Linked DNA regions of Schizosaccharomyces pombe. The gene in region 1 interacts genetically with each later gene. Each region holds a gene or a part of one and is shown in the gene's direction. Other genes may lie near its edges.

Region 1 (7,207 bases):
CTTGATGAAACTTTCACCACAGACAACCAGGTCGCATCAGCATACTTACGTTTCATACTGCTGTACAATCTCTCTGAACCAAGTACAATAATAATGTTAATGCGGAAGTCTGTAATTATAGAATGAAGGATATCCTGATACTTCTCAGCATTTTCTTGAATGGATGAAGTATCTACCAAACAACCAGACACTCGGGCATCTTTACTTTGGGACATTCTAGAATGCACCGCCAAAGCTAGCCTAGATAATGAAAGCTTATAAAGCTTAGGATTATCAAGTGGTGAATCCAAACCAAAGTTATATACCAGTGGTACTTTGGCAAGAACGTGAGTAGGACCAGTAGATGTGCTTGCACCAAAGCCATCAGCATCCTGAATGTCAAGAATAGTGGCATTGTGAAATGCAGAAATAGACCCAGGGAGAGCCAACATTGGTTGAGTAGGATCAAGGTTAACACAAATTGGATGTCGAGATTGTTTCAAAGCGTATGATTCTAAAATCTTCAAGACACTTGTTTTACCACAACTTCTTGGGCCAATGAGGCAAACACACGGTCCATATGAAGACTCATCATTTGCAGCGGCATTTTCGGCTTGTAATCTAAGGCCTTCCAAAGCAAAATGCAAATTTAGATATGTACTCATAGGAGTTTCTTCAGCAACATACTCAACGGACGGTTCACCTTCAACTTCTAAAGTACATCCCTGCCATGTATATATCGCTCCTTTAACACGAGTAAAATGATATGGTGGACCTAAAGCCAATTCAGTGCCAAAATATTCTGCATTTCCAGACACGAGCTAAACATGTTAGGAAAATACTTCCAAGAAAGAAAAAAAAAATTTAAAGAAAGAGTTAAATAAATTAAGTAAATATTTGCTAGAATCTGAAGTAGCAAAAGTAAGCTACTTCATGTCGTAAACAACAATATCACCACGAACTTACTCGAATTTGAATTGCCGGTTCGTCGACCTCAAATCTCCATTCACACTCTTTCGGAATGAAAATTTCTTTCATTTCTTAAAAATATAAATGGATCTAAGCAGCAGCTGAGACCGCTGACTGTTCAGGATGAAGACAAGAGAAGCTACGAAAACTATGGTATACTAACTCCATCTGAAGTGCAGATAACGAAGAATATGATACTTCGTAAAATGTTAGCTACTGAAGGGTAGTCAATATAACGATATGTGCCACAGTTGAGTTTTTATTATGATGCTATATTATCTTATACTGGACGACTTATGACAGAAAATAAGTATATTTTTAGGCCCATAAGTTCGTACAATATGTGATTCTGTTAAAGGGAAAGTTGTTTAAAATGCAAGATAGCATGCGTTAAAACTTACTGACCGAACCTGAAAAGGTCCACTTGTAATACTTCCTGTGCAAATAAGTGGATACAATGTGTGTATAATCCACTCTTCAAGCGAAAGAAATAAACATGGAAAAGAGAGTATAATACTAGCGTAACGAATAACTAATACCAAAAGTTCGTGATGAGCTTCCGCGTAGACATTTATAAGTTGTGCAATGCCTCAGTTGTTCTTATGCCTAATTTCTATTCACTATTAATAAACGCTCGATGTTTTATTTTGCTAGAAGCTTCACCACGCGATTAAACATGTAAACAACTATATACTCAATCTATCTGTCAATATAAAATCTACTGATAAAGGAGTACATAAACATAGATAAGATGCATAAATCCAAAAACTTTATGCTTAGAAATAAATGTAAACAAACGAATTTAACCAATGTTTTCAATGTAATTTTAAGTTAAAGTTTGCAGAAACAGAGAATTCTAGAAAGTAGGAAAACTGTAGAACTATCAGTTTCAGCTTTTACTAAACTCGTAAAGACTTACTTTTGCGTATTTTATAACCAATGTTAATAGTGAATTTGACGGACAAAAGTGAATTCTGCCACACCCTCCTCATATATGCCCTCAAGTCTGATATTTATTCAGTTGGAAGGCATAGCTAGTCTGTATGAATTTAGAATCTTGGAGTAAAGCCATTGCGGCACCTACCTTTTGGCGGGAACTATTGTGGCGATACGAACGGAACCCGAGTATCAGATGATGTAAAGTGTTAATATTCCTTAACAGGACCCAGAATCAAAACAACACCAGTACTACGCAGAGATCTACCTTTACCAACTGGATATAATATTGAATATGATACAACTAACCCATTCTTAATATGAGATTGTTTTCTATTATTCATAAATTTATGTTCATTTGCTTTGTAAAGTCCAATCACTTCATTTGTTTGGTTCCATGAAACAACAGCATGATTTGTGTACAAACATCTAAATACGTATATGCATTTGCCTCTCCAAATATCCCTGCAGATCCTATATCGACATGACATGATACTGTCAATCCTTTAGCTTGGAAAATGTATATAAAGGCACCCTACTCTCACCTTTTTTACCACTTTAAGCGTGCTTGAGACAATCGACTTTCAACAACTCATATCACCCTAACAAACTTTCAACGATGGAACACACTACCCAATGTAAGAGCAAACAAGGCAAGCCTTGCGACTGCCAATCCAAGTGCGGTTGCCAAGATTGCAAAGAGTCTTGTGGTTGCAAGAGCAGCGCTGTTGATAACTGCAAGTGCTCTTCTTGCAAATGTGCTTCGAAGTAATCTATATGAGATTTACGGACTGTAGTTCTGGCCTTGACGAAATATTTCATCCATAAAGCAATGTCCGCCTCGTCTTATTGTTTTTCGAAGCATCAGTCGAGAAAACAATACTATTATGGACCAACGAATCGCCCTGATGTCTTGATCCTACTACATTGCTACTTTTTTACAGAGCATTCTTACTTACAACTCAACTCTTAAGATATGATTGTTATGAATAATAATGAAATCATAAATTGATTTATTTTCAACAGCTATTTTTGCTTAGCGTAGAGTAAGGGCATCATCTTCTTGGAAAATCGTCCACTATTGTGGATTCTTTTCCACAATAAATTAGTTTTATGTGCAAAAAAAGATACTCTGTATCAATTCAACCAAAATTATGTCTTAATATTTTAACGGCACTAACGAACGTTTGTTTCTTCCTTCTATACCATTGCTAAGTTAAGCTCTGTAAAGCAAATGTATACATTATATTTGGGTAACTACGGAATCTATTTTTCATAGCGAACGCTAATAGCGCGTAATCCTTTAAACTGTTTAATACTCATTATAATATAATTACGATAGTGAACTACAATGCTACGCGACAAAATTCACTTCCAGAATTAACTGAAAGGTAACTTGAACATAGAAGTTGTAGATCTGTAATTTTATACTTGGTAAGAGGGAAATTAATAAGAGAGTCAGTTGGGAAAAATTTTAATACGTTTCCTTGTTTAAAATTGTTGAGTTTGTATTCTTCTAATATATTACTTTGCTGCTTGGACCAACTCTCATTGTTCTATATTAAGCCTCTTTTCCCGTCCTTTTCTTCCTTCATCTATCTTTCAGGGCTCAGCAGTTCAGTCACTATAATTGAGTGTCTGCTAGCTTCTTCGTTCTTTCTAATTACAACGTGCTAACAAATCGATTTTGTCTGTTTTGTGAGAATATTATATCCTGTATACTCATCTTTCATAAAAACGACAGCGTTTTCAAAGTGTTTGGAAATTAATTATTGATTCATTTACAATATATTGCTTTCTTTAAATCCGTGCCATTCTTTTTGCCTTTTCTTCATACATTCCTTTTGCTATCTCGGATCTTAATTCATATACCCTTACAGTAGGTTATCGCTTTAACAGTTTGTCTGTAATTATAATTTCCACTTGATCGTTTTATGAAAATTAAGTTAAATCTTTTTGTTGCAGGGAATTCTAATAGTTAGAATCTTTCTGAGATTATTGTAATATAATTTCAAATTTTGTTCTACTACCTTCTTTCTTTTTGTTCTAATTCCAGTCTCTATGTTAAAGGTATGCTTCAAAAAAAATTTTTTGTTAATTAATCAATTATTAACCATCTCTAGATTAAAAGGACTTGGAAAACTCATAGTCGAATTCTTGATAAAGATCCTTTTTCAATTGAACCCCCGAGAAAAGTTATTAGGGCCCTTTATGATTACACAGCTCGTAAAGCAACTGAAGTTTCATTTGCCAAGGGTGACTTTTTTCATGTTATAGGTCGTGAAAATGACAAGGCTTGGTACGAAGTTTGTAATCCCGCTGCAGGTACTCGTGGCTTTGTTCCAGTATCTCATTTTGAAGAGATAGGAAAAACGGTCAAATCGGAACGAGACAGTGATGGCAGCGGGCAAATATCATTTACAGACTTAACCACCAATTCTAGTACCACTAGGAGCTCAATCAGTGAACTCCATTCTGGTTCACAGCCGCTATTTGGAATTGTGCAATTCGATTTTGCTGCTGAACGACCAGATGAACTTGAAGCCAAGGCGGGTGAGGCTATTATAATTATTGCTCGGTCAAATCATGAGTGGTTAGTAGCCAAACCTATAGGACGATTAGGGGGTCCAGGTCTCATTCCTCTTTCATTTATACAACTTCGAGATTTAAAAACCGGAGCTGTGATAAAAGACGTTAGTGAGGCTGTTTTACGTATTTCTTGCATACCTCGTGTAGAGGATTGGAAACGTGCGGCTGCTGATTATAAAAAGAGTAGTATTCCTTTAGGGAAATTCAGTGATGGTGAAACTCAAACTATGCCTAGCTTAAGTCCAAGCACTGAAAATTTACAAATTAATAACGATGTTACATATCAAGCTGCTACTGACAATTCAAGCACTTTTCCTGGTTCCGTCGCTAACGAATTAACACCTCTGCAAACATTGGAGTCGCGTACGGCTAGCATCGCTTCTAAGAACAAGAAAGACATGTCTTCTGAACCTACCGTTGTTGCTGCAATGGTGGAAAACTACATGATTCGCGATGACCAATATTGGTATTTGGTCCGTGCCGTTATGAGTGATGGAAAACATCGAAACCTTTGTAGATATTACGAAGACTTTTTTAATTTCCAGACGAAGTTTTTAGAGTTATTTCCTAATGAAGCTGGTCGTGGGGACGAAAGACGAGTTATTCCTTACATGCCCGGTCCAGTTGATGACGTTAATGAATTAATATCTTCACAAAGGGCAATGGATTTAGATGTATATCTGAAGGAAATGTGCAGGCTTCCAGCTCGTTTACTCGAAAATGAACTCGTCAAACTTTTCTTCTTACCGCTTGACGGAGACGTTGAGTCCCCTCATCCAACTAGTACGATGCCTGAAGCCTTACCCAGAGAACCGTTAAGTTTCTCTTTGCCAGAGAAAGCTCCTGAAAAAGCTACTAATATCTCTATTCCCGAATCAGCTCCGACTACTGCAGGTTCGACATGCAAAGTTAAAGTCAGATTAGGAGATGAAACCTTTGCTTTGCGCGTTCCCTCTGATATCTCATTTGAAGATTTTTGTGAACGATTGACTAATAAACTCGGAGAATGTGAACATTTGTCATACAGAGATACGAACGCGAATAAAGTATTACCTCTTAATAATGTTGACGATTTACGGAAGGCATGTTCTCAAGAATCAGGAGTTTTACTTTTTGCAGAAAGACGGAGGTTTTGAGACTATGTATATTTAAAGATTTGGGTTTCTTATTACGTTCTTGCATTTTATTTTTTTTTCGTTTCGTTCTTTCATGGTTTACTTTTATTAATTTAATTTCATCGGTATAATAGCTTTCTTTATCTTTCTAATATATCTGTCTGTTTTTTCGAGAGGTATGCGTTTTTGGATAGTATTTAATCACGACCGAATAAGATGCAAAATGTTTATTCTCCTTATATATTAGCTTTCTTGGAGGTAAAATAAACAAAAAATCTCAACTATGCACTCCCTTTTTGTTCACAATCATTCAATTGAATATTTTCATTAGTTGTTTGATACTGTTCCTCCAAACATATATGTATTTGACGTATTTCAAAAGGGGATAAAGGTAAGCCTAAGTAGTAAAATAAAAACGTTTTTATTGCGAGAAGTTCAACATTTCTTGACAACGTCTTAATCAGCTGAATCAACGCAGATTTGGTAATACAATATCATGTCGCAGTAATAAATTGGTTCATATGAACCAGCTACAATATCGATCACGTATATTATATACAGCCAATTTGGTAAAGGCAATTTTGCAAACTACCTGTTGATTCATTAAACAATTAGATATTGGAAGCCGGAAACGCTTTCTTCTATACATTTACTTCATTTATGTATACATTATTTCTTACATTTAATGTGACCACAAGTAACATGCTGCATACATTTAATCCAATACTAAAGACGCTTTATCTTGTTAGTTTATCTAAAATATTGCTTTACTACATGCATACTTTCCTTAATGCTTATCAAATTTCAAAAATAAAAAATGCTCATATAATTTCCTTTTCCGTATACTTAGAATGGTGGCATCTAAAATAGCGGTAGAAAATAGTACCTGTTGAAGTGACAAGTAGTGAACGCCCAACCTTCGATATAGATCAAAAAACAATAAATTACAGCTGTGCAGTTGCTTTTATTTCAACATTGCAAAAACACATGTTAAATTAAAATTTTTTTTTAAAGATTCCCTCACTTTAATACTTCCTCCTTTTAATTTATACCTGTATGATTAATTCATGAGAACGTATTCTTTACATAGACATGGACGCTGAAGCCTTAAGGAATTTGTATTTGTCATCCATTCTCCCCAATGAATCTAAAACGGGTAATGAATCACCTGAAAAGAAATTTTCTTCTCCTGTGTTGTTGCAAAGGGCCAAAGTGATTCCTTTGAGACTTGAATATGAAGAAAGAAAGCTTCTTCATTTACTTACTGCTGCATTGGATGTGAGTGATTATACCGACAGCGTTGATACCCTAAGCTTTTCGTCGCCAGCGAAAAGACTGGCTCAGCAATTGAAAGGAATTACTGCAGTTTTGTCGGGTATCATGGTTGCTTATGATTATAAAGTTGGACAAGAATTGCTTGAGCATAAAAATTTTGAACAACATGCCGAATTTTTTAAAAAGATTTTTGAAATAGGTCGACGTTATAAAGTGCTAAATCCCAACCGACTGGGGTCTACTTATGGGAAATTGATGTACTTTGTGCAAGATTCTATGCGACCAGAAATTCAAGACGCACTTGGATTTAACCTCTTTAAACCCATTTTGACTGTCTATGAATT
Region 2 (8,462 bases), on another chromosome or scaffold:
TCCCTTTATGCTAGTAAATGTGACTATTATGAAAGCGATATTTACTCTCAAATTAGGAGATTAACCGAAGAAAAGTGCATTGAGACAGAAAAAGAGTTGCCAGTTAATATAAAACTACATGTCAAACATAAAGGAATGAGCATATCATCTTCCCGCAATGAACTAGTGGTTACTGTTTCAGGAAATTATAAAAATGTGTACACTGCAAAAATAAAGATTTTGCAAGCCATTCCCAAAATTCTAATCAGCAAACTTGTGCTCGAAGAACCCCTCGAAAACCTCCTTTTTGATGAAGATGGGTACGTTTATGAAGACACTATGAAACATTTGGACAAAATAACGGAAATAACGGGAGCAAAAATTTATATCATGCATCGTTCCATGTGTCATGATATCGATTTTCAGCTACGTACTGACAGCGGATTCAGCAATCGATTAAATGAACAACAAAGCTTCTACCAAAGGCATTTAGAGTCTACTAGGCATGAATTTTCATGTCAAAAGAACGCAGAGAATTCTTTTTTTATTGTCTTTTATGGTGACTATTGCAGCGTTGAACATGCTAGAATTCGCGTATTAGCATTAATGGATGAAATCAGAGGATTATCGGTAGTAGCTATTGCAACTTCTGTATCTTTTCAGCCAATTCTCGTTGGAAAAGCATTTTCTAGTACTGCCGGAATGAAGGCTACTGAATCAATTAATATTTATACATTACCGTTTTGCAGCGACTCAATCCCTCGGCTTCAAACCTTACCCGCCTTAAACTCAAGTAAAATAATTATTACAGGAGAAGAGGAAAAATTGCAAAGACTCGAAGAGGCGTTTTATTACGCAGAAGAACATCTAAAACTGTTTACTCACGTAACAGAAATTTCATTTGTTAAGCTTTTCGAATTTCTCGCTTACGAAATGGATGAGCTTCGGCTTATTATGGAAGAAAATTCTTCGTTTATTCGCTTTCCTGAGTATTTCAAAGAAGGAGGAGAAACGAGCCCAGAAAATTCAAAAGTCAAAATCTACTCATCTTCTATAGCGAATTCTGAAAAAACAGCACTCCGATTGGCAAAGCTTGCAAGTAAATATGTACAAGGAAAAACTCAGTTTGGAGTTGAAGACAACGAAGACTTTCTGAGAGTTGCTGGTTCTTGGAGAAGAGCGTCTACAATTGAAAAAGGAGTTTCAAGCTCTGAATTGTCCTCTATTGTATCCTCGACTGGCTCCATAGTGGAAACAAATGGAATAGGAGAAAAAATGTCATTCTCTCCTCTTAAGAAGCTAAGTATTCCACCAACAGAATTTGTAGCTCAAATTGCAATAATTTGCATGGCTTCTGGAGTCGAAATGCTCCTAAAAACCAATGGGATTGAATATTTCGGACAAGAAAACACCGTGCCTATAGCAATGGATAAAGCAAGCAAAATATTTTATAAATTTGGACAATCCCAATGGCACCAGATACTGCTTGAAGCCCCAACCAAGGATCAAGATTTCATATCCGGTAAAAAAAATGGAAAACTGGATAAGGTAAAGCAGCAATGCCGTTTCAACTTAAAGAATGGGGACATCTTGTTTTGTCCCCAGTCGACGAGTATATTCACGGTTGATATATATAGTGACGAATTGGAAAGAGTAATTAAAGGAATGAACACAATGTTGCTTGAATTTCCAGCTGAGATGCACTTTTACGTTCCAGAGGAGATTCACAAAAAACTCATTGGATTTCGAGGAGAGCAAATCCAACGTGTAACTAAACTTTATAATAGTTACATTGAATTCTCAACTACTCCTTTTGACTGTTACGGGCACAACGTGCTCATTCGCACACCATCAAAGTTCTCCGAAAATTTGTGGGCCGTCCGATCTTTATTCATTAAGACAGCTGAAGGATTAGGATACGACATCCCGAAGTATTTGTTTGCTAATTGAATTTTAAGTCAGAATCCAGTCATCGACCTGCCCATAGATCACCACACTTTCTCGTTATATTTTTTATGTCCATAACAGACACTCAAGCTGGTTATTAAATTCGGAAACTAAATTTTTTGAAAATCAAAAGTGCTCCACTGTATCAACTTTGATACACATCTTAAGTGCACAATATAATTTAATGAACGTGATCCACGCAGAATTTTGAAGCACATGACAAGTTTAAACTTTAAGCAGTTCAACGATTTGTGCAGGACGGCAACCACTGTTCGTATGCCTTTTTTATTTCTTATTTTGTTAATAAATTGTCATTGAAAACAAAAGATAAAACGTCGATAAACACAGCTAGATTGATATAATAACAACAAACATCTTTTCAGTAAAAAGAAGTAGAAACTGGCACTAACCGTTATTAATCAACTTGCTATACGCTGTGACATCTAACACTCTTTGACCAGTTAATTAGAATCGTATTTGATGAGAAAACGATATTGAGTTAATCCATCCACTTTCTTTGGAATGCATGATGATTAAATTAGTAAATTAAAGAAACAAAAAGGGATTACACAAGAGTTGTTAAACATAAAGACGTCGTTCGACTATAAAAAAAGACGTGTGAACCGTAATGCACCCTTTGCGGTTATTGGGTTTCTTCGGTTTTTTTTATACAAATTATATTACGCTTAACTGAACGAACTAATCAAGTAGCACAGAAACAAGCCACTCTTATTTTTTCTCAAGAGTCGAGCAATACTTCGTTCTCGCTGACAGGATTGCTAATAACACTAACGAAAGATGAACAGGGGGAATGTTGTATAGTTCATTTTTAGTCGTACAATAAATCTCGATAAATTTGTATAAGCAATATCATTTTAAATGTTTCAAAATCTCAAAATAATATGAAGGAAGCAACCATCACTTACACAAAGTATGAAACATAAGGAAACGATATAGAAAGAATCTGGAAAATAAGCAAATATTAATAATAGCTAGATCGAAACCTGGTGGTTTATTCGCTGCAAAGCCATAGCGGTAACAAAAGGAACAAATGCCAGTGTAGCCTTCTATATAAACAAAGGTCCTATTCTTTGACCTCCACCACAAACGGCTACGAGTTTAAAAGAGCTAGCAAATGTTGTAAAGCCTTGGTATTTTTATTTATTTTTTAATCAAGAACAAACTTTGAATAAAACCGTAAAGAGTTTTCTATCTTAGCTGCCGCTCATTTTTTGAGCTGGTGTAATTTACCTATCCATTCTCTTGGGAAACACCTTTCTTTTAATTTTCAGAATATTGATTTCCTTATGAATTCGGGTACGACACTTCATCTGGACAGACTTAGTTTGGAGACGCCATCCGAACGTACTTGTTTTTGTATTAAATGTTGGGAAGTATGTGAGGTTCAAAATTTAATCGCCGTGTCCGGAGAGCGGTCTTTTCACAAAACGAGACCCTGTCTTGAAATTGGACACTGCTCTTTTATTTTTTCCCAGCTGTAATGAACGGCATTTACTAACTTTTGCTCTAGAGTGTTCCCAGTACCTCTCAAGTTTGGTTCGGTGGGAAATGTTGGCATTCCGATTGGTATGATTGAAAATGCAAACGTTGGGATTTTTGGATCTTTTTTTTTTCTTATAGATTGAATAAAAAAATATAAAATGCTCCAAAGATTACCCTTGTTTGTGCTTCTTGTTGTTTTGATTTACTAATTAAGACGGTTTGCTAGTTTTAAATGTGTGAACTGCAACAAAAAATTAGACCCTTCCTCTGAAGATTTTTCTCAAGACGATCAAAAGCAAATATTCTGTAAATTATGTGTTGATATCTGCAACGGTTGCTCAACTCCTATTTGCGAGTTCAACGCAGTAAGCAATAGTCAAGCTAATCATCCTTGTTGCTCCAATTGTCGAGCTTTCATTAATTCAAATGCTTTTGGCAAGTTCAAAGGTCAACATTACTGCCTTCCTTGTTTGCGTAAACAAGATGAAGAGAATCAAAAGGCTGTTATGGAAAGCGCATCAGGGTTTATTCCTCTTAGGAATATCGCACAAACTGCGGAAAACACTTCTTTAACTGGTAAGTTTGTTGCTTATGTAGTATTTATTGATATTGTCTTTATGTTTCTAACTTTAATTTTAGGGCAAAACCAAGGCTTTCAAAACCCGCATTTTATAGCGTCTGATTCTCCATCCTCCGTATTATCTGGTCGAATGCAAAATACCAGCTCTCCTACAAACTCTCTCCGTCCTCAATTAAAAGTTCAAACTAATGGTTATGAAACACCTGGTGATATAAACTCCGCAAAATCTTACAAAGACATCCAAAAGGACTTCTTACTTAAACCCAAAAATTCTTTCGTTAAAACCTCTCCCTCTCCACTAGCTAATGGTCCCTCATTTCGTTCAGCTAATGCCTCTCCATTTGATTCGTGTGACTCTTTTCATTCTGGAAGTTCGATACCAATTGAACCAGTTTCTTCAAGGCAAAGCTCAGTAGTAAATAATAATAGCGTGCAGCAACCTGTTGCTTATCACGCCTTTGTTCAATCACCAACCGAAAATGGTACGCTTCCTCAACTTCCTAAAAATGAAAGCGTTGTTAATCCTCCTCCACTTCGCCGCTCTTCTACTATGAATTACAAATCTGTTTCGACAACAACATCACCATCTAAATATGGATATGTGTCTGGCAGAATAGCTCTATCTCCTATCCATTTAAGGGGTGCTCTTCGTGATGTCACAAATAAATGTAATTTAAAGGTTCCTAGAAATCGAAACAGTTTATCTAATCTTGACGAATATTACGTTAACGGATTGGAAAGCGACGAAACTCCTACAAAGGCTAGATTTCCTAGATATCCTACGGTATTTAATAAGTTAGATGACAAACGACTTAGTAGCGAACCAAACGGCTTGAAGAAAAGATTGACGAACTCTTCAAATTATGAGGCTTCCCCGCGGGCCAAAAGTTTAAATTTGTCGCAAGTTAGTTTGCATCAAGCATGTGAACCTGAATACAATCGAAGTTCTTTGGTTAGAGCAAGTGATGTGTTTACTTCAAACGTATTTGATGCTACAGAGGAAAGCGCAAATGAACTCGCCATTCGTATTTCAGAGCTTCAAGCTGAGGTTGGAACCTTATTGTTGGAAGCGACTTCGTTGGCTTCTATCATAGAGCAGCAGACTCCCGTGTCCCCCGAAGCTTTCAAGCAAGAGTTGGTTGCAGATTTAAATTATAGATTAGATTATTTACGGAAATCTTTTCAACCTGAACTGTCTACCTTACTTTTGAGGCGAGACGCTTTGTCTACGACTGTCTCTAAATTGCAAAACGCTTACAGCACTGTAATGGAAGAAACCGCATATCTGAATGTTAAGAACACAGAACTGGTAAGCCTTAACAATCAATTGGAGAGAGAATTGGCATACTTGAGGGAGCAGCAGCATAAGAAGCGAACTTCTTCCTCTTTCGGAATATTTAATAATGATAAAAAATCCAACCGAACGATTTCAACCCCGTCTCCGCGAGAATCGTTTTCGCGTCTACAAATGGTTGCATCTAGCCTTGGATTTAGACCCAAAGACAATAAAGACAAGGAGAGTGGAGGGTATAACAAACGGAACTCTAAAATAGATCTTAAGAAGTCATTTTCTAAACGGTTTCATTGGAAAAGAGATTCTCCTCACATGTCGAGTACTCCCAGTATTTCTGAAGAACATTTAGCTTCTGAAGAACAAGAGGATTTCGTTCCAGCGGTCGGTCACTGCAAACTTTGCGGTAAATACTCCAATGAGCTTAGAGCACATTATCAGGATTGCGTTAGTTCTACTATAGATCGTCAGTATCAATCTAAAAAAAGCGAATCTCCTGTTTGGGCTTTGAATCCTGACGACTTCGATCAAAACAGGCTAACACTCTTGAGAGTCCCGACGCTTATCGTTTCTTGTATAAATTTTATCGAGTCATACGGCATGGATTTTGAAGGTCTGTATCGCAAATCAGGGGCAACTTCTCAAATGAAAAAAATTGTTGCGTTACTAAGAAATGAAGATACGGTACTTGATCCAAGTGAGGATATTTCTGCTGTCACTTCTGTATTCAAGCAATATCTTCGCAACCTTCCTAATCCAATTATTACCTATGACCAATACTTTCCGTTCATCACAGCAGCAAATTGTGCCTCTTTCCAAGATAAATTAGACGGTTTTATAATGGTCATCAAAAGTCTTCCTCCAGCTCATGCTGAAATTTTGCAGCTCATTATTAGACATTTAGCAAGGGTTGCTGCATATAGTCATGCAAATCGAATGACATCCAAGAACCTTGCAGTAGTATTTTCCCCAACATTAATACGCGACCCCGATAATTCCAGAGACGTTATTGACATGACTGTTAAGAATTACAGTCTTGCGTTTTTGATAGATCATGTACATGAAGTCTTTGCCTAAATTCACACTATCCTTTAATAATTCGCTCTTTTGTTTTGCACGTTCCTTTATATTCTTTATTCGTCTTTTTTTGTTGTTTTAGTAGTTGTACCATAACTTTGGGCAGTTATATCGAGATTCCTTTTTGCATTTGCTAAGATAGTTTCATTTTTGGTCATTTTTAGATGTCATCGTGAAATCAGTGGCAGATGAGTGTTTTATGGATTTGGCGTATAGCTTCTTCATAATGCATTATCACTGCAGACTGACATCCATCGCTTTTATTTAATCATTTCCCTGTTTTAGTCTACTTGGCATTACTCACAATGCTAGGCTATGAATAAAATGCAATTGCATGTATAAAAAAGGAGAAATTTGTATTTTTTTTTAATTTTATTATGCTTTCAAGGATTTAAAGAAGCATTTTTTCCCAAGATCCCTAACTTAGGAAATGCTAGTGCAACGTATTGTGAGTAAGTGATTTTGTAGATATATCATGCCCATTATCTTAATGGAATTCTAAAAAACCAAAAGCAATTCCTATAAACAAAAATTATATACGTTATATGGTAAATTTTTTGAAGGGGGTTAAATAGAGTTTCGAACGTCTAACAAAAAACCAACTCCTGTTTTACTACCACTTTTTTTTGAGAAAAGAGGGTCTTTAAGCAGGATATTTTATTATCTATGTGAACAAAATTACGGAATTTTACTAATGGCAGATGTTATTAAACGATGCATTTTGGGCCCGACTGAAGCCGGCTGGTTCGTCGCAAAGTCTCAAATAAAAAAACCAGTTGACCAAAGACCGGTTATCCTAACCCATTGTAAGCTGCACAGCAAAATGCTAGAGCCAAAGGCGATTGTTTATAAAAAAAATTCATCTGCAATTCCTAAACGAGTTGACAACATTCTTCTTCGAAGTCAAAAGCCCAAACATATAGAATGCCTACTTGTGGACTCTAAAATCACCAAAACAAGGAGCCTTTTGAAAAGATTTGGAAGCTGTCTTGATGAAACTAGTACCATTGTACTTTTAAATCAAAGTGTTTCCTTGTGGGAGGATTGCTACAGTTTATTTCCAAAGACTGAAACCAGACCGCGAATATACCTTGGCAGGTTCCAAACTCTATTCAAATCTTTTCCATTTAATTTAATTAGTGATTCTTTCAGTTATCGTCTCAACCTTAGCAAACTTCCTCGTACACCTTTGGAGAAGTGTACGGTAGCTAGAGCCTGTAAACAGTTTCCGTTAAACCAAAGGTCCCCTTTACTTGACTTGATGGGTTCCTTTGAAAGGGACTATGTAAATTTTTCAAATTTTTCACAGATGCTTTCTGCACAGTTATGTGACTCTATGGCTTTTTTAATTCAAATTTTTCCTACTCCATTACTCAGGCAAAAAGCTGCGAATGCGTGGATCGAAGTACTTTCTAAATTACCATATTTCCATATTCTTGATAAATCATTTTTTTCTCCCCACTTGTTACTTCAAAGCTCTGAAAATCAAGCATGCAAATTTTTTAATATTGGTCCTCAAGTTTATTTCGATCCTAGGGAAAGATTGCTTCATGTTAAGGAGTTACTGAAGTTCGCTTTAAAGCATATTGACAGTAATGATTCTCTATTTACATTCTTAAAGCAAACTTGTTATACTTGTGATTCGCCTTATGCTAAAGTGTTTCAGCCCGATAAACAGTCGTTTCATAGCATAATTTCAAGAAAGCGTCTTGCTCATCTTGAAAAGGAATATTTTGATAAGGATGTATCCAAATTAGTGCTTTGATTTGATATGAGGTGAAAAATTGACCGAACATATTCCATCTACTGGTAATTTAACTGTTCAATCCGTTCTAATAAATTCACCATAATTTCGAGAGAAGGTTGTTTTCAATTTTTTATGTTAAAAAGAAAAAGCAAAAGAAATCTAGGGATAAAATATCGCTAAATTTAATTCTTAGCCTGATCCAAAAGCTACTGAAGACTACTGTATCTCAGATAAAGCATTGTCAATTATAACCACTCCCCCATGATGTTTCATTCTTAGTCACTCCTTTGTTTATCTTCGAGGATTCACTCATCTTTCAAATAATTTGAACACCTATA
Region 3 (6,899 bases), on another chromosome or scaffold:
TTAAGATAAGAAGATGCGAATTTGTATGCTTTTGCATGAACTTATCCATAATGGCTTAGCAGGAGTTGAAGCGCAATTGCTCAATTTACTCATTTTGTCATTAAAGATCCTCGTTGGTTCGTAAAAGAATTTTGTCCATACACTTTATTCTCCTTAGCTATTCCTATCCTTAAAATTACTACTCTTTAATACGCGTTTTTACTAATAACTATCCCTTCAGGTGAACTGAGTTTAATAAATAGCCTGGTTGAGGAAACCAATGCCTCCTGTGTCATCCACACTGGTGACTTTGGATTTTTTGAGCGATCCTCACTTCCTAGCATATCTGAACGGTATGTTTTGTGTCAAAAATTTTTATGTTTCATTTTTCTTTGTTCTAACCTTTTTTCAGTACTCTTCGTCACATTGTCCAATTCTCGCCTCTCATAAAAAAGCTTCCTAGGTCCAAAAACTTTGATTATTATCCCTCGAATCCAATTGGGGATTTGAAGAATAGTATTGCTTCTCACCCCGATTGCCTGCTTTCAGAATTACCTCAATTTTTGTCACAAGAGAAGAAATTCTCAGTCCCTGTATATGTAGTATGGGGAGCTTGCGAAGATGTGCACGTTTTGGAAAAATTTCGTTCTGGAGAATATTCTATTCCAAACCTTAACATAGTGGACGAACTTCATTCCTACCTATTGCAAATTGGAGATATGAAAATCCGTTTACTTGGTCTTGGAGGTCCTTATGTCCCTTTTAAGCTTTTTGACAATGGAGACGGTAAAGGAACTATTGCTGGTGGCCAGGGTACTATGTGGACTACAATCCTTCAAATGGGTGAACTAATAGAAACCGCTAAGAGCCTGCTTGACAGAGAGGAGGCACGTATTTTTATTACGCATCATCCCATTGGAAGAGAAGGTGTTCTTTCTCAATTAGCTACTGCTTGCCAGGCTGACCTGACTTTATCCGCCGGTCTTCATTTTCGTTATGGAGCTAGCTACAATGAGTTTTGCGTAAATCATAGTCCTGAACATTATCTTCAAAAACTTTCGGCTGCCCGTGCACAGTTTATGGAAGTGTATGACACTGTTAAGGCTGAGGTTGAGAAGATGGTTACCCCTGAACAACATCATCTAATAAACAATGTTGTTCGCCTAGTCTCTCGCATGCCCGATGCAACTAACTCATATGCTATGAATAACATGCTTCCCGGCACTGCTTTTAAAAACCTATGGAACTTCAATTTATTAGATGCTTCCTTTGGATGGACTGTTTTTGTCGTCGAAAATGGGCATGTTCAAGTGGAAAGCAAATCTCATGGCTTTAATTTAGGCTATCGTCGCATGGCTTCACGTCGTAACGAAAATTATGCATCTCACATTCCACGCTCAACTTCGGAAAATACCGGTACCTATTATTACGCTAACAATAGGTTGGTGGAATCTCAAGCACAGTTTACCAAGAACAGAGAAGCTACGGCTACACCAACCGAAGAAGAACAGATTGAAGGGTACGATCAGGAACATACTGATGAGCTAGGAATGTCAAGAGCGAATACTACAGAAGAGTCGGCTGAGACTCATGAAGTAATCGAAGAGAAGTCGGGACCACCTGCTGCCGAGGAAGAACCCATTTCTGGCGTAGCAGAGAAGCCTAGTCCTAATGAAGAAGAACAACCAGCAATTGGAGGGAAAGAGGAAGTTGACGTTGAAGAGGTGACTAAGGGTACTGGAAATCTCGAGCTAGGTGAGACGACTACAGAGGTTACCATACTTGAACAAGAGAATGCTGCAAATGTTACAAGATCTCAAGCACAAGAAGGTAGAAGAACTGATATGCAGAAGGGCAACGATCGTGAATTCCGTCAATATAGTGGTGAGCAGCGTTATGAACGTTGTGGATTTCATATTACCCCTTGCAATTCTGAAGAGGAAGCCCGTTCTTACTTTAAGGACGGGACAGACAGCCTGATTACGAATATTCAAATTCGTACTTCACTCAATCGTTACAAAAGTCCCCAAGCTCCTCAAAACGTAAACCCCACTAACTATGCATATGTATTTGTTGAAAACCAGAATGCTGTTTCAAAGGCCCTTGGAAGCATCAAAGTTCCAGAAGGTGTGCGGGTGAATATCATGCGTGATGATTCGTACTATCGTCAAAATAGAGGATGGTATCGAAATAACCGGATGGAGGGACATGGAACTGGAATGCGTACCAATCGTGGACGTGGACGAGGCGGCCGAATGAACAGAATGCAGCATCCTCGTCCATTACAAAGCGGTGGAAGTGTCAATAAACAAAGCGCTGAACCTACTACCCATGGTTAATGATGAATATTTTTTGCACTGTTTTCAATGCTGTTTTAGAACTGATTTTTATACCATCTTTTCACCTTTTTACTGATGTTAATGCAAAAGTTTACCTCATGAATGATGAAGTTTTCATGAAATTTATCTGACGCACTCATTTACCTCAATAACTGCGAAGCCAAAATAACTGATATGACTCTTTTAAGATATCTTTTTCGAATTCGGTTGTCATTGACAAAAGGGTGCTTACTTTACTTTCTTTCATATCGACTTTGTTTAGAAATAATAAAGTGATTTTTGACAAGATTGATTCGCAGAAAACTATATAGTAAAAATAATTAATTACTTTATGCTAGAATAGCAGTTATTAGCCTTTTCTTCTTAGAAAAGATGTAAGTTTTAATAGATCAAATTCATTAATTAAATAACCAAGTTGAAATTTAAAACACTCACAAACAATAAGCTAGCTACTCAACTAAACAATTTTTTTTTGTTTTTGCAACACAAGGTCCCAACCCTTACCGTATGTTATTGCGGGATGGCCGTATTCCACAGTACAGTATTTACCCATTGCCAGTTCCGCCGATGAATTCTAAAACGCCCACTCTAGGAATAGTTTGTTCAGAGGGGACCATTTCCTTGTCTTTGGAAGAGGGTTTTGAGTTTGTTGGAGTTCCGTTAAGTGGTGAAGGTTTAAAGCTACGAGTTGAAGCTCTAGCTCCGTCAGAGCGTTTGCAGGAATTCCTCGACGATGAAGTAGCTTATCACCCTGAGGGTATGTTTCAAATTTGAAAGAAAATTTATATTAACCAATTTTACTATAGAAAATGTGCACAAGGTGGTCGGTTTATCCTCAGCTTGGCTGGAGTTAGATTCTGAAGACACACTAATCGCTGATCGATCAGAAGAAGTGTTATTAAAGGAAGCATCATATGCTTCTTATTGTGGGTTATCTTCAATCATCCTAAATGGTCCAACTTCACCAATGAACGTTATGCGTTATGCGAGAGCTGTATCTTCTGCTTTAAACTCAACAATGAATCTAAAATTCTTGGTACAATTGGCAATCGAAAGTGGTCATGAAGACTATTTTGAGACATGGAAAATGTGGGACACAATTCGCTCAGCATGTGGTTATCACCCTAGATTGAAGGTGGCCTTAGAGCTACCTCCCGCTTGTTCACCCCCAATCGAGCTAGTAAATCGATGGTACGCGGAACCGATAGAGATGATTACTATGTCATGTATGGCTTTCGTTCCTAATCCCAACGGCTATCCAGTACTTGGTCGTAAGTTGAGGGCTATTTATGCTTTATATCTACGTCTCAATCCTCGAATTTTACTTTGGGATAATGACGCACCCGAGAAAATAGGTGATTCCCCCGACTACAGCATATATATGAAGCACCTCTTTGATTCACAGCCTCCAGCTCCACTTGTAGAAGATCTCGCGGATTCTTATAAAGACTATCTGCAAGTTCCTCTTCAACCATTGAGCTACAATTTGGAAAACATTACTTATGAAATATTTGAGCGAGATCCCGTTAAGTACGCCCAGTATGAGCAAGCAATTTTTTCTGCGTTGATGGATAGAGACGAATCTTCTGTCACGCGAATTGCCGTTGTGGGTGCGGGAAGAGGTCCATTAGTCGACTGTGCTTTACGTGCGGCAATTTCTTCATCTAGAACGGTTGATATGATCGCCCTTGAGAAAAATCCTAACGCTTTTTCCATGCTATTGATGAGAAACCGCCAGGATTGGGCTGGCAAAGTTACTCTAGTATTTGGAGATATGAGAACATGGAATCCTGATTATAAAATTGACATCCTTGTTAGTGAACTTTTGGGTAGTATGGGAGACAATGAACTTAGTCCGGAGTGTCTAGATGGTGTACAACATGTGCTTGATGAAGAAACTGGGATATGCATTCCATCTTCTTACATCTCCTATGTTACTCCTATTATGTCTCCTAAGCTATGGTCTGAAGCTCGTAATATGAATGACCCAAATGCTTTTGAAAGACAGTACGTGGTTTTAATGAACTCATTTGACTTTTTGGCTGCAGATGATGAGTTCCGTTTTCAGTCCCTTTGGTCCTTCCATCACCCAAACAAAGATAGTGAGGTTTATACTAAAAACTTGCATAACAAACGTTTTGCTAGTGTTCGTTTTCAGGCCTCTAGTCCTGGAATCCTTCACGGTTTTGCAGGATATTTTGAAGCTACATTATATAAGGATATTTCTCTTTCAATTATGCCAGCAACTATGGAAGCGAAGTCTCCTGACATGTTTTCATGGTTCCCTATTTATATGCCCATTAAGGTAAGTTACTATATTTTACGTTGCACTGTATACTAATATTTCCTAGAAACCCATGTACGTCCCAGAAAACAGCCAATTGGAATTTCACATGTGGCGATTGACGGACGGTATGCGGGTTTGGTTTGAGTGGTGTGCCAATGCCTATCTGGTGTTGCGGAATGGAAGTCAAATCAAGTTGTCTTCTACGGAGGTCCACAACATTTCCGGAAAAGCGTTCTCGTGTAATATGTATTAAAAATTAATAGTCCTTCTTTTACATTATTGTTTATGGTTTAAAACGGGTCTTCAAACCATTTTTTTGGAGTTTTGATTATAAAAATTTTTTGGATTTAGTTAAATCTGAATTTAACAAAAGTCGATTAGTTTTAGGATAGCTGTTACAATCAAGATTTTGCTGAGAAAGAAGGAGTAATGCTCCTATACTTATTGTCTTAAACGATTTGCCAGAATTTTAACTATTGTTCTTAAACATTCCTTTTTACACAATTAATTAACAGGCAAATTCATTCAACTGAAATACCCTGTCATTTGCTTACTATACTAGTTAATTAATTTTCATTAATGTATTATATTAGTCCGAACTTGAAAATTAACAACGCATTGCGTTATGCCACTCAATTTTATATAACGAATGTTAAGATAGATGGTTTGTTGGAAAATTCTTTAACTGCTTGTAGTACGGAGTATGCACTGTGTTCTTCGCCATTTACAGAATTGTGGGAAGGGTTTATATAAGGGCGATTTTCGACTATGGAACCAGCTCAGAAGAAACTAAGGCAAGAGTCAAAGAACCCGTATTTGGCACACTTAAACAATGGTGATGATTCTGAGGAAGTTGTTTCTTCGAAAGGGTTGACGCGACGTGCTACGACTGTTGCACAAGCAGCTAAGGCTGAAGAAGGACCAAACAATTTTTTTAATGATAAACCTTTTAGTCAAAATTATTTTAAGATTTTGGAAACTCGAAGAGAGCTTCCTGTATACCAGCAAAGAGAAGAATTTCTCAAAATTTATCACGAGAATCAAATTATTGTTTTCGTTGGTGAAACTGGTTCTGGTAAAACAACACAAATTCCTCAGTTTGTTCTTTATGATGAATTGCCTCATTTAACAAATACACAAATTGCATGTACTCAACCACGTCGTGTTGCAGCTATGTCCGTTGCAAAACGTGTCGCTGACGAAATGGACGTTGACTTGGGCGAGGAAGTTGGTTACAACATTCGTTTTGAAGACTGTAGTGGACCTAACACTCTGTTAAAATATATGACAGATGGTATGCTTTTGCGTGAAGCCATGACAGACCATATGCTCTCTCGTTATTCTTGTATTATTCTTGATGAAGCACATGAGCGTACCTTGGCAACTGATATTTTGATGGGTCTAATGAAGCGTTTGGCTACACGTAGACCCGACCTTAAGATTATTGTCATGTCTGCAACTTTGGATGCTAAAAAGTTTCAAAAATACTTTTTTGATGCTCCCCTTTTAGCTGTTCCAGGTAGAACTTACCCTGTTGAAATTTATTATACCCAAGAACCTGAGCGCGATTATTTAGAAGCCGCGCTTCGTACAGTGCTTCAAATTCATGTTGAAGAGGGCCCCGGTGATATCTTAGTGTTCCTTACAGGTGAAGAAGAGATTGAAGATGCTTGCCGTAAGATTACTTTGGAAGCTGATGATCTTGTACGTGAAGGAGCCGCTGGTCCATTGAAGGTGTATCCACTTTATGGTTCTTTACCGCCAAATCAACAGCAACGTATATTCGAACCAACTCCGGAAGATACAAAATCGGGTTACGGCCGTAAAGTAGTTATATCTACAAACATCGCAGAAACATCCTTAACTATCGATGGTATCGTTTATGTGGTGGATCCTGGTTTTAGTAAACAAAAAATTTATAATCCCCGAATCCGAGTTGAGTCTTTGCTTGTAAGTCCTATTAGCAAAGCCAGTGCACAACAGCGTGCTGGTCGTGCTGGACGTACTCGACCTGGTAAATGTTTCCGCCTTTACACAGAGGAAGCTTTTCGCAAAGAATTGATTGAGCAAACGTATCCTGAGATTTTACGCAGCAATCTCTCGAGTACTGTCTTAGAATTGAAGAAACTAGGTATTGATGACCTCGTTCATTTTGATTATATGGATCCACCCGCTCCGGAGACTATGATGCGTGCTTTAGAAGAGCTGAACTATTTGAACTGTCTGGACGATAATGGCGACTTGACTCCTTTAGGTCGTAAAGCGTCTGAATTCCCACTTGATCCAAATTTGGC

What was found. A genetic interaction does not mean that the proteins touch.
Region 2: of scd2 (region 1) and rga4, changing one enhances a phenotype caused by changing the other (phenotypic enhancement), as found in Schizosaccharomyces pombe (one study listed by BioGRID).
Region 3: of scd2 (region 1) and skb1, changing one suppresses a phenotype caused by changing the other (phenotypic suppression), as found in Schizosaccharomyces pombe (one study listed by BioGRID).

The regions. Positions count from the first base shown.
Region 1 is NC_003424.3:2,379,227-2,386,433, forward strand, and holds scd2 (Cdc42 GTPase complex scaffold subunit Scd2), read left to right. Parts: upstream 1-3,277; 5' UTR 3,278-3,945; coding exon 3,946-3,954; exon of another isoform or gene 3,955-4,007; coding exon 4,008-5,609; 3' UTR 5,610-5,927; downstream 5,928-7,207. Other genes in the region: SPOM_SPAC22H10.05C (cleavage and polyadenylation specificity factor complex subunit), read right to left, coding at 1-800, 946-1,017; SPOM_SPAC22H10.06C (uncharacterized protein), read right to left, coding at 2,094-2,375; metallothionein Zym1, read left to right, coding at 2,504-2,656; SPOM_SPAC22H10.08 (uncharacterized protein), read left to right, coding at 6,681-7,207. UniProt on the Schizosaccharomyces pombe protein: Required for mating and morphogenesis. Interacts directly with scd1 and with cdc42. May bridge and facilitate scd1 and cdc42 interactions.
Region 2 is NC_003423.3:1,836,390-1,844,851, forward strand, and holds rga4 (Rho-type GTPase-activating protein Rga4), read left to right. Parts: upstream 1-3,026; 5' UTR 3,027-3,233; coding exon 3,234-3,320; exon of another isoform or gene 3,321-3,457; coding exon 3,458-3,513; exon of another isoform or gene 3,514-3,655; coding exon 3,656-4,005; exon of another isoform or gene 4,006-4,068; coding exon 4,069-6,377; 3' UTR 6,378-6,798; downstream 6,799-8,462. Other genes in the region: SPOM_SPBC28E12.02 (BICC1 family RNA-binding protein), read left to right, coding at 1-1,929; protein Cbp7, read left to right, coding at 7,072-8,142. UniProt on the Schizosaccharomyces pombe protein: GTPase-activating protein for Rho-type proteins.
Region 3 is NC_003423.3:2,274,390-2,281,288, forward strand, and holds skb1 (protein arginine N-methyltransferase Skb1), read left to right. Parts: upstream 1-2,865; 5' UTR 2,866-2,885; coding exon 2,886-3,075; exon of another isoform or gene 3,076-3,124; coding exon 3,125-4,623; exon of another isoform or gene 4,624-4,669; coding exon 4,670-4,858; 3' UTR 4,859-5,235; downstream 5,236-6,899. Other genes in the region: SPOM_SPBC16H5.12C (uncharacterized protein), read left to right, coding at 221-332, 392-2,318; ATP-dependent RNA helicase Prp43, read left to right, coding at 5,374-6,899. UniProt on the Schizosaccharomyces pombe protein: S-adenosyl-L-methionine-dependent protein-arginine N-methyltransferase that can catalyze both the mono- and symmetric (type II) dimethylation of the guanidino nitrogens of arginine residues in target proteins.